Drosophila melanogaster: one gene and its partner. The protein of the gene in region 2 interacts with the protein of the main gene of each other region in a pairwise test. Each region holds a gene or a part of one and is shown on either strand. Other genes may lie near its edges. The genes, in order: cora and CG9636.

The links.
Region 1: the proteins of CG9636 (region 2) and cora interact in a two-hybrid assay, tested with the Drosophila melanogaster proteins (one large-scale study listed by BioGRID).

The regions. Positions count from the first base shown.
Region 1 is NT_033778.4:19,227,487-19,232,370, reverse strand, and holds the start of cora (coracle), read right to left. Parts: upstream 3,309-4,884; 5' UTR 3,257-3,308; intron 2,948-3,256; 5' UTR 2,718-2,947; intron 1-2,717. Other genes in the region: CG7137 (uncharacterized protein), read right to left, coding at 3,889-4,884. UniProt on the Drosophila melanogaster protein: An integral component of the septate junction. May play a role in cell-cell interactions that are necessary for proper development. Vital for embryonic development.
Region 2 is NT_033777.3:8,240,165-8,245,848, reverse strand, and holds CG9636 (uncharacterized protein), read left to right. Parts: upstream 1-2,056; 5' UTR 2,057-2,313; coding exon 2,314-2,627; intron 2,628-2,684; coding exon 2,685-2,931; intron 2,932-3,002; coding exon 3,003-3,169; intron 3,170-3,272; coding exon 3,273-3,459; 3' UTR 3,460-5,102; downstream 5,103-5,684. Other genes in the region: CG33722 (uncharacterized protein), read right to left, coding at 200-1,636; Ada2b (transcriptional adaptor 2b), read left to right, coding at 5,426-5,539.

The DNA of each region.
Region 1 (4,884 bases), on a different chromosome or scaffold from region 2:
ACGGCTCTGTGGAGCAGTGTGTCGCTTGACTAATTACCGCTATGATCGACGTTCGGATGACAAGGCGACATAACCGCACTGGATCACACCCACACATAGCCATCTGCACCACCATCGCTCCACCACCCGGCACCATCAGTTCTCCACTGTCAATGGCTATTTAAAGCATTTGACTTCGCCTGGCCAACGAACTCTGAAATGCATCCACAGTTGCTGCTATTTCAACACCATAAAATATAAGCTGAACCAAAATCATTTTAGATGTTGTATCCGTATGCAAGTCTTTTTAAAATAATATATATAATATAGAAAAGGGTTGAAACAATTTTTTGGTTTAAGGAACATAACTATTTTATTTAGTAGAACAGAATAAGTGGTTTTAGGTTAATATTTTTCACTGTGTTGGTATGCCGCACCCACATGCACATCGCGTTTTGATTTCTGCCCAGAAGGTGAGGGAAAAAGTGTCGCGAAGGGCGGAGAAAGTAAACAAACGAACCGCCCTCGAGGAGAATTTTGTCCACTTCAGCGCTTTGCACATTAATCATAGACCTATAGACGCCCCATCCGCACAAGTAAAAATCGATGCGACAAGGAATAAAAATAGAAAACGGAAAATCGAATGGGCATTTAGGAGGAGCGCAAGAGGGAAACTGATTGGCTAAAAAGGGGGCTGGAAAAGCTGCCTTCCATCCGATTAAGTTTGTTGAAAGATTAGATTGGTTTTTCACCTCGCTGAAGGAGGGTGGAAATCTTCCGGTGAACTAAGAATAGCTAGCGATTCTAAAGAGGATTCATAAAGATGAAGATATTAAGTGCTACACATAGTAGGTGAGATCCCCAATCTTAACAACGATCTGGCCACGCTGGAAAATCGCTGGTTGGGGCTTAGTCTCCGTTTTCCGACGAGAGAATCCGAGAGAATACGGAGAGACGCGCTCTGGGAGCTTCTAACGCTGGAAGACACACCTAGTTGGTAACGCTCGAATTCGGAGTCGTGTTCGAATTCAGGTTTTCGAGGGGGCTCTGATTCCGACTCATTTTGTTTTTTTTTTAGCCATGTTCATTCGCGTGCTGCCAAGTCGTTAGCCCTCCGAAACTCTCTCACTCTCCAGATTTTTGTAGTATAGTTTTCCACTCGCTGGTTGTACAGTTATTGGCATTCAGTTGGCTGGCACTCCTCGTTTGCTTTGCTCGGCTGCTTTATCTGTTTGTCTGCTGTGCAGCCAACTTCTTGGCCAGCAACAACCGGTTTTTTTTATTTCTTTCTTTTCTAATGCAAGCTCAACCTCATGTTAGCCAGTTCGTTTCCATTCCCACTTTGCATGGCCTGGCCAAGAAGACGAAGTCTACATGTTAATGTTTCTTACTATTTGGGTCAAAGCCCACACCTCCCGGAAAAGGTGGAAGAAAAAAGACTTCACGTAAACAGCGGTTTTCGAAGAACGGTTTTTTGGTTGCCAAGTCAACGCCCCAGGTTTTCCGGGGATGGTGAAAATCGTGCCGTGACTCAGTGGATGGGGGATGAGGGGACACCTAAAATATCGCCACCAGTCACCTGCCATTCATAACTGGCCTTTGTTGTGGTGGCCTTATCTTATCTTAGCCATGTTTCCTAGTGGCTGGGATAAAGACCGACGTTGTTTACCCCAGCCGATATCAAACATATGAAAAATGCCAATGCAAAAAGCGCTCAATGTTGTGATAAGAAATGTGGAAACCTGCTCGCAAACCCAATGGATTCTATTTTGGGAACAGTGACGTCTTGATGCTTGGGGAATTTAGCCGCCATATGAAACTATTATATATGCCATATGAATGCGACGAAATTCCAAAATTATATTTAAGCGAGAGAAGGAAATGAAAGGAATCGGTTTCATAAAGTGCGCAGTTCTAGGAATTTTGATTTTTCGGTTGGTAGTTGGCCTTCTTTAAAATATAAATTCAAAGTATAAATTCTACTCAATTGATATTTACACTTAAGAAGTTTTCTATTCATAATCATCATTATGAATAACCTTTTCAATTTGCGTAGAATTCAAAAGTGATTGTATGCCTTTCCACATGCGTATCTTTGAGATACATATACATACATACGTTGTAGTTTTACCGATACTGAGTAGGTTTTATAAAGATATAAAGTATTTGCCCCCTTTTTTAAAGTTCACTGCTAAACGAAACTACCTTTGAGATACATTTGTATCCGATCGGTGTTGTGGAACGTTTCCTTGACTACCGCGGGCCCAATAAGAATTTCCCACCCTGCGCCCCGAAATGCGAAGCAAACGAGGAAAACACAGAAGAAGGAAAATTGGAGTAAGGCAAAGACAGAGGCAAAATCAAAAGAGAGCTGGCGACAACAACAATGTGGGCCGAGTTGACAAAAACAAGAAGTCGAAAGAATAAGAATATCGTGCCAAAAGATACACTCGAAAAGCTTGACAGCTCACAGATACAGATACGCAGATACAAATGCCGCGTGAGTGAGTCGAGCTCTCTTTTCGCTCCCGCTCGCAAAGCTGCTCTCAATTAACTCTGCTTTCGGGTGTGTGTGTGTGTGTGTGGTGTGTGCTATGAAGTCATACTGCCCAAGTCATTCTGCGCTTGTGTTGGTATCGAAAACATAAGCCACCAAAAACTCCCGACCACAGCCCAAAAGAAAAAAACTTGAATAAAAATGTAATTAACCTATGTCGCAATCCCCAAATTGTACTCACCCTTTTAAGACGCCTCTAGAATCCTTTTTAATCCACAGCAAGGACACGCAGTTACCGTTAGTTTGGCGGTTGGCTGATTTTTACTCCTGTATTTGTGTTGTTTTCACTTTTCTCCCGTGGGCACTGCACTCACTCGCTTTCACACTAGTAAACAAATTCTTTGCCACTTTTTTCTATTCGTTCGCGAAAAAAGACAATTTGTTGTTGTCGTCGTCGTCGTCGTTGAATACCTGTTGAAAATTTGACGTTGAGTTTCTTTGAGTGAGTAATAGAGAACGCAAGAGTGGGAGTTGAAGGGGTGTGTGTGCTGTGAGGGGGGTTGGGCTCAGGGGTATAATAGAGAGCGGGGTGGGCGTGGGCGGAAAATGCGCGAATAGTGGTTGCTAATAAATTAATTTCCCATTTTATTTATAAACACACTGCTGCCGAATTGCGCGCTTTTCTTTTCTATCCGCTCGTCGCCGTTTTGCAATTACTTTGCTGCTGGCCAAACAACAAATCTTCTCACAATTCTGGCAGCGCGATCACACAAAACGTACCGTCTTCACAAATATTCGATGTGCTGTGCACGAAGAGCAAACTGGTACTGAAACCGAAAACTGAAACTGAGAGCCATCCGCTTGCCGCTGCTCGATTTGGATTTGAGTCGATTTCAGTTGAGACCACTGAGTTTTGCTGAGAAACCACCACCGAGTGGTTGCAGTGCTGGCAAATGCCGTTGGTTCATCTGAGTGCTTCGGTTTGCTTTTCAAATGTTTATAGCAATAGCGCTGTTTGATATCGCTACAAAATGTATATAAATCTATGTTTTCTTAATAAATGTATGGTCCGATTTCAATCGTTAAATTTTTTAAAAATTATATGACCTCTAATGGAAATTCGAGTGATTTTTTATCTTTTATACATTTTTGTCGCATATATCAAGGCGCTATGTATTCGACATACATTTTTAATCTGTGCCCTTTTTTGTTGCTAAATTATCGCGCCTTATTATCAATTTGTATATTTTCGACCGAATAATAAGAGATCAAAACACATTTGTAAGAATTCCAAATTTATTGCGGTTTCTCCTACATAAAATTAATGTAACTATCTATAATTGCATTCGCTGTCTTGGTTTCTTTAACAGTTCGCAAAGTCGGAAATCTACTAATCTGAATAGGATAACATCCTATCGCTTGCGATATAAGCAAGGTTTGAGAGAGAAAGCTTTCATCTTGGTGTTCTTGGGCACATGACGCATCTTCTTGAATTGGAAGAAGTAGAAATAGTTAACAGCCACATCCTTCTTGTTAAGATCGAATCCACATGCATTGAGGCAACGCACAAACTCCCGCACATCCTGGAATCGCGACTGAATCTCCGCGATATAGACAGTGCCGTGCAGCTTGAGCACTCGATTGGCCTCCAGGAAGAACTCGTTCAGATCCGTGCCCATTAGTGAGAGGCAGTATACGGCCACGTCCAGAGTTCGAGCTTGGAGTGGAGTATCCGTGATGTTGCAGGCAATGATGTCGCTACGAGCAGCGACCAAGTCCATGGAGTACACCTTGTTGGGCACGGATTGTGCCAATTTGCCCTCGCCGCAACCAAAGTCGCCAATTATGGCTGTTTTGGGAATCTTCTTGATGGTCTTGATGATGCGATTAAGCGGATTGATGGGCCACTTCTCCACCTGCTGGCGGTAGCCAGCGTGATAGGCCTCGAAGGCGGAGCTATCCTTGCGGAAAAGTGCCTCCGCCTTGCGACTGGTCGTCGAGTAGAGCTGCTCGTTGATGTATCGGAAACGTCCGCCCAGGAGTTCCGATTGCAGCTTACTGGCCAACGAGTTTGCAGCCGGCGTGGTTGAGCTGGTGGCCTCCATGGCCTCCAAAGCCGCCTGGGCCAGTTCGGGTTTCAGTTTCAGTTCTTTTTTGCCACCTTTTGTGGCCTGCGTTGGTGGTCGCTGTTTCTCTATTCTTCCGGACTTCACCTTGTGCATGGCCCGGATGCCATCCTCCACATCTTCGTAGTCATCATCCGAGGAGTCTTGGGGCGGGGCAAGAGGTCCTCTGCCCTGCCGGTAAGTGAATTTTTCAGCTGCCTTGTTCACATTCAGATTTTCATTTGGCACAGCGGCCTTCTTCTTTTTGGGTTTCTTCTTCTTTGGTTTCTTCTTGGCGGCAAC
Region 2 (5,684 bases):
TGGATTTTTGTCTAACACATGTTTAAAAAAAAAAAGAACATGTTAAAGCCTGGCTCAGCGTATTACTGTCAGTTTTCCAGTTTCATTTGATAAAGAATATAACGACAATTCTCATTTTATATAAAATGTGTCAAATAAAAAAATATATAGAAATAAAGCGGATTCATTTAATATCACACAGACTGTATGTATGTATCTATTAACTAGACCCTGAGGCCGTTGCACGGGTAAGGCGGTACTTTTGCACTGCGTAGTGCGCTCCCTCCTCGGAGGTCAACTGATCCACGTACTCCTCCTTCACGAATCGATTGCTCACCGCATTGAGCGAGTCCTTGATAAAGCCAAAATGCACGATGGCATTTGGAACAAAATTCAGCTCCAGGAGCGTCTCACCGGAGGGCAGCACCTTCTTCGGTGGAATGGTGAAGAGATGGAATTGCTCACCTGGCTGAACCAAAAACTCCCGAACAAAATCCTCCACCTTGGAAAGGGGCTCGTGCGGCTTAAACATGCCCTGGAGCACGAAGCGATCGGGAAACTGAATGCGCAGCACACAGTCCTTGTACTGGTTAAGCTTAGCCAGCATGGCCTTTTGGCGCTCCAATTCCCTTAGCTTTGCTGTCAGCAAGGGAGCGTCGTCATCTCCGCTCGACGTACGCTTTAAATCACGGAGTACCATCTTCAAATCGTTGACGGTCAAGTCGAAAAATGAGTCCGGCAGGTCATTCGCATTTTTCTTGGATTCGTCCAAGGAAAAGAGTACAGCCTGGCGTGGCCCAATTATTTTCACCACTGGTGGAGCCCTGCCTGGATTCTCTTCGACTTCGTTTTCTGCCTGCTTCTGCTCGGGAGGGTGGTTCATTAAGTATCCGGAACCATTGCCCCAGTCATATTTAGGTGGTTCTGGCTGAGGCTGCTGCTCTTGATTGGATTCCCCTAAGGGCTTGGCTGGTTCGCTACCGCTGGCCTTTTCTTCAGGAGCCGTGCGTTTCAAATTCTTGATCATGTTGCTGGTAAGAGCAAATCCACCTCCTCCTCCGCTGCCACCAGCTGCCATTGCAGAGCGGGAGGTACTGGGCTGGTCGTCATTGTCCACCCGAGGCTTGACAGCGGGAGCTTTATACACATTTGCCTGGGTCTTAAGGTCCTCGGGTTTTTTGTCGATAAGACGCATCATGGCACGACCCTCGAGGATTCCTAGGGACTTAAGAGTGGTCTGTCGCATCTGCTCATGTCCTATGACCTCGCTGCGCATGTAGATGATGACGGGGCTTTCGTAAGCCTTTACATGTGTTTCGCAAAGCTTCTCGACCACCAGCCATATGGTGTCGTTGGGCGAGAAGTCCCCTTGCTGGCGGGAACCGTCGTTCAATTGGACGCAGACAAGAACGTTACTCAGTGTGCGCCGCTTTTCTGTTTGCTCCATCTCCAGGACACAGTTGTTAGGCAGGCCACTAAAACGGAACTGTTGCGTCAATCCGACCACCTTGTTGTGAAACTTGAGGCAGTGCTCCTCCGCATCGTAGCCGTGCTTGAAGCAGGCCGTCTCCAGAATCTCCAACAGCGTCATGTTCGCCGTCACGTTCACATTCTGCCGCCGACCATTGGGCAGCAGGACTGTTACGCGCTTGTCCATCGGATTGGCCACTTCCCTACAAGGATACGTATCTGTATGGCAGCTACGAGGTAGAGGCAAAAAAGACTCACCTCTATAGACTTTTAAAGAAGAGACTACGTTCCGGAACTTGCCGGTTGGAATTGGGGTTGTGGGTGTACGTCTATCGATATACCTTAAATTTGTTTACTGCTTTGCGTGACTTTCGCTTTTCCTATTTTCATTAGAGATGCGCACCGTGATTGATATCGGTTAGCAAGAGTTTAATTTCTAAATTTTTAACTTTTACGTTTATAACCGCCCAGTATAATTACTTGAAATATATTATAGTATAAAAATTAGCAAATTACCGATCGTCAATATAACTCATTAAATTCGAAGCCACTTATCGATAGACTTCTGTTCCTTATATCCCAATCGATAGGAGCAGCCTGTGTATCGGAGTATTATTGATTGCAGCAGGAAGAAGCAAAAGAAAGGCGCAGCTAGCTAAATCAAAACTATTCAAAACGGAATTTGCAATAAAACTAAATTATAATTCAGTAATACGACTGTCAGAGGACATGCTCTAAGTTCCGGGGAAGTCCCCATCTAGTGAGTTTCAGCATTTTGAGTGACGCCCTGCGTGGGAAACTTTTTGATTACCGCCGATCCAGCAAGAGACACTTCGAGAAGTCCATTTAAACTATATAGCCATTATGACCAATTTAGAGAAGCAGCACGAGATGGTGAAGCGTAGCCTGGTGCAGTTTATCAGCGGCCACATTCCGGGTGCCGACTTTAGTGTTGTGGACGAAATCGTGCTTTCGTACATTATTTCGATTTTGGAGGAGGCATCCCAGGATCCATGCTTCGATGTTGAGGGCTTTGTGGAGATGATGGGAGCCTACTTCGAGGAGTTTTCAACCATTGACCAGGGCATCATCTGTGACTGGATCTACAAGCTGGCCAATGAGCTTACCGATATGGAGAAAACCCAGGAAAACCCAGACGCCGTCAACTTATCGCTAAAGTACGTTTTCATTCTCATTCCTATGCCAGAAACATTTAATATAAAATATTTTTACAGCTCCCTGAGCCTCTCCAGCATTATTCCGGAGTCCAAGCTGCGTGCTCGCAACTCGTCAACTTCCGAAAAAGACGAGCTCTCATCGAACAGCAGCAGCAGTGGCGGCTGTGGCGGCAACAAGCGTTCCCAACATCTTTCGGAGACTAGCGATGGAGGTTCCACCGACAGCTCCAGCTCCACTTGCGACTACTTCCTGGACGAGACTGAGGTGCTCCAGGAAATGTTTCCGGATTCGGCAATAGCCGAGGTAAGTATTAGTTTATGGTGAAATTTAAAGAATTTTGTAATACTGTGTAATGAATTTAAATCCATTTCTAGATCAAACACTGCATCGCAATTTCCAAGGGGGACATCGATAGCGCCACCCAGATTCTCTTGCATCGTCAAGAGACGAACCAGTGTATTACTGACAAGTCGCATACTACTTATATGAAGAAGAATGTAATCGTCGACGATAATGAACTCAAGAATCGTATTATCGCTAGGTAAGTGTACACCTTAAAAAGCAAATAAACATAGCAGTATATTGAAGTGGATATCAACTTAAAATAGCCAAACGTAAAATATTATTTTTTTGACCCCATCTAGGTACTCCTATGTTGACAAGAATGCCACCCAGCGCGAGTACAAGCCGGTGGTACCGAAGATGGAGCCTCGCAAGCTGGTTCGCTACCGGGACAATAAGATCGTATCGCTTAAGGGCGAGCGGTACACCGAGATTAAGCGTGACGAAGATGCTGAGTTAAAAAAACCCAAGAAGCAGATTCAACCGTAACTAAAGAGGAACAAAACCCTCTTCAAGTATTTTATCAAAAAGCAAATTAATACACACCCCAATAACTTATCCGCACCCACGAAAACGATCTTCGCCAGTAGCAGTAGCTGCAGATCCAACGTCACCAACAACAGCAGCCATCCCGAAATCGAGCACAGTGTGTGCAATCATATGCATATTGTTGGGCTGAGCGCCGCCAAAAGCCATGTCAGCACCTATTCCAGCTTCACCACACCAGTGATCCCCGCCAAGCTTAGCCAATGTTTAGACGCTTCCCAAGACGATGACGATGAGCAGCGAGAGTTTAGAGACAAAGACGAGACACCGAGCACAGCGAATCGGTTCCCATATCCGAGTGAGTATGGTGCAGAGTTTGTGGCATCTGCCGGCATGTTGGTCATACTGTTGCTAGTTGGCCATTGCCACAGGACCTTGAGCCCTCATCGCGCCAATGCCCATGACAAAGACACAAAGACTTTACATACCAAATTAGTTGATAGTTATGCTTTAGGACTACTCGCTTATGCAAATTTTGAGAGCCCATCCATCGCGGCCGCCTGCTTATGAGTCTCGATGCTGGGAGCAGGCGGTTCAGACGGATCTGGACATGGATCTGTTTCCGTTGCCAGTCGTCAATTATGACGACTGGGGTCGCGCCTGCGCTGTGACTTTTCCTTAGTTCCTTACGCAAGCGAATTCAAATCGAACCGTATCTGTGAAAATCGTGAATCTCAAACTCTTGAATGTCCTCGAACAGTATTGTTAAACATACTTCAGTCCCTAGGATCAGACGCAGGTGCGACACCAAAACCGAATTTGGCGCTCAAATAGACTTATTTAGACGTTTTTAGGTACTCGAATTGATAAATTTTGTTGGCCGTGTGCGTGTTTTTGAAAAGCGCAGCTGCACAAGTAACTTGCCATATCTGTTTAAGATCTGTTAACCCATTTTGTATCGTGTAACTCGTTTTGTTTTTCTCTGGTCCAAGCTAACTAGCAAGAGTAAACTAGCAACAATGCCACCAAAGCCACATGCAACACAAACTAGTCCTCACCGCCCACTGAGATATCTGGAACCCATAACAATTCGGCTACTGCTCGGTGTAAGACAGCAATACTAACAATAATATAAACGTATTCACCATATGAACTAATCGAATAATCAACTATTTATACAGCGTAGCCTACCCCAAATCCTTCCCAATGATTGTAATGATTGTAACCTACAATATCTCGGCAGTCCCACGCCCTATTCATGTTAGATGTAAGCAACCGAAATATTTTTCGGCAGTTATTACTTTTACACTTTTTGTTTGAAACAAAAGATATTTACCCATTTTATATTTTTTTTGTAACTCAGAATTTAGCTTAAGTTTTTAATCCTGACCACCGCTTAAATTTACGTATCGAACTGCATTTAAGCACATGAGTTTTTTATATTTTTATTCAGCACCACGCTACAAATGTTTCAACCATCACATATTCGTATTTATGTTTACCTTGTTTTGGTTTGATATGCACTTCTTTTATTTTAGTTTTATTTTATATATATTAATATTATTTTTTGTGATAATTTAAAAAAGGCAAAACACTCGAATTAAACTTTTAAAATAATTAAATAAACTACTATCAATATTTAACGCATAAACATTAGAGTTTTGAACATGTGCCTAATGTTTGAAATTTGTATTCTATATTTAATGTGTTGGTACTTTTGGTAAGTAGTATAATTTAGAAATTAACTATAATTCAGAGATTCAACAGAATTATGAAAATTAGCTAAAAAGGCTTTAAGACTAGCTATATAGGCGGCACTGTTCCGATGAACTGGTTCGGTTCGTTGGCCGTACATATAAGAATTCTCAGTAGAGCAATATGGCGTTGACTTCGCGTCTGGTCACATTACTGGCATAGGTTTTTTTCGCACAACTCATAATTGTCGTGAAAATCCAGGTTTTGGCCCAAAATGACCACAATCGCGGATTTATTCACAAAGTATAATTGCACAAATTGCCAGGATGATATTCAGGGCATTCGAGTGCACTGCGCGGAGTGCGAAAACTTCGATTTGTGTCTGCAAGTAAGTAACTCACACATACACGCCGTCGAGCGACGCACGTATACATGTTGCAGTAGGGTGGTTCGCTCTTTTTGAGGTTCTAGATACTTGTATATAGATTTGTAAATAATAAAAATCAGTTATTTTAACAAAATATTCTTGAATC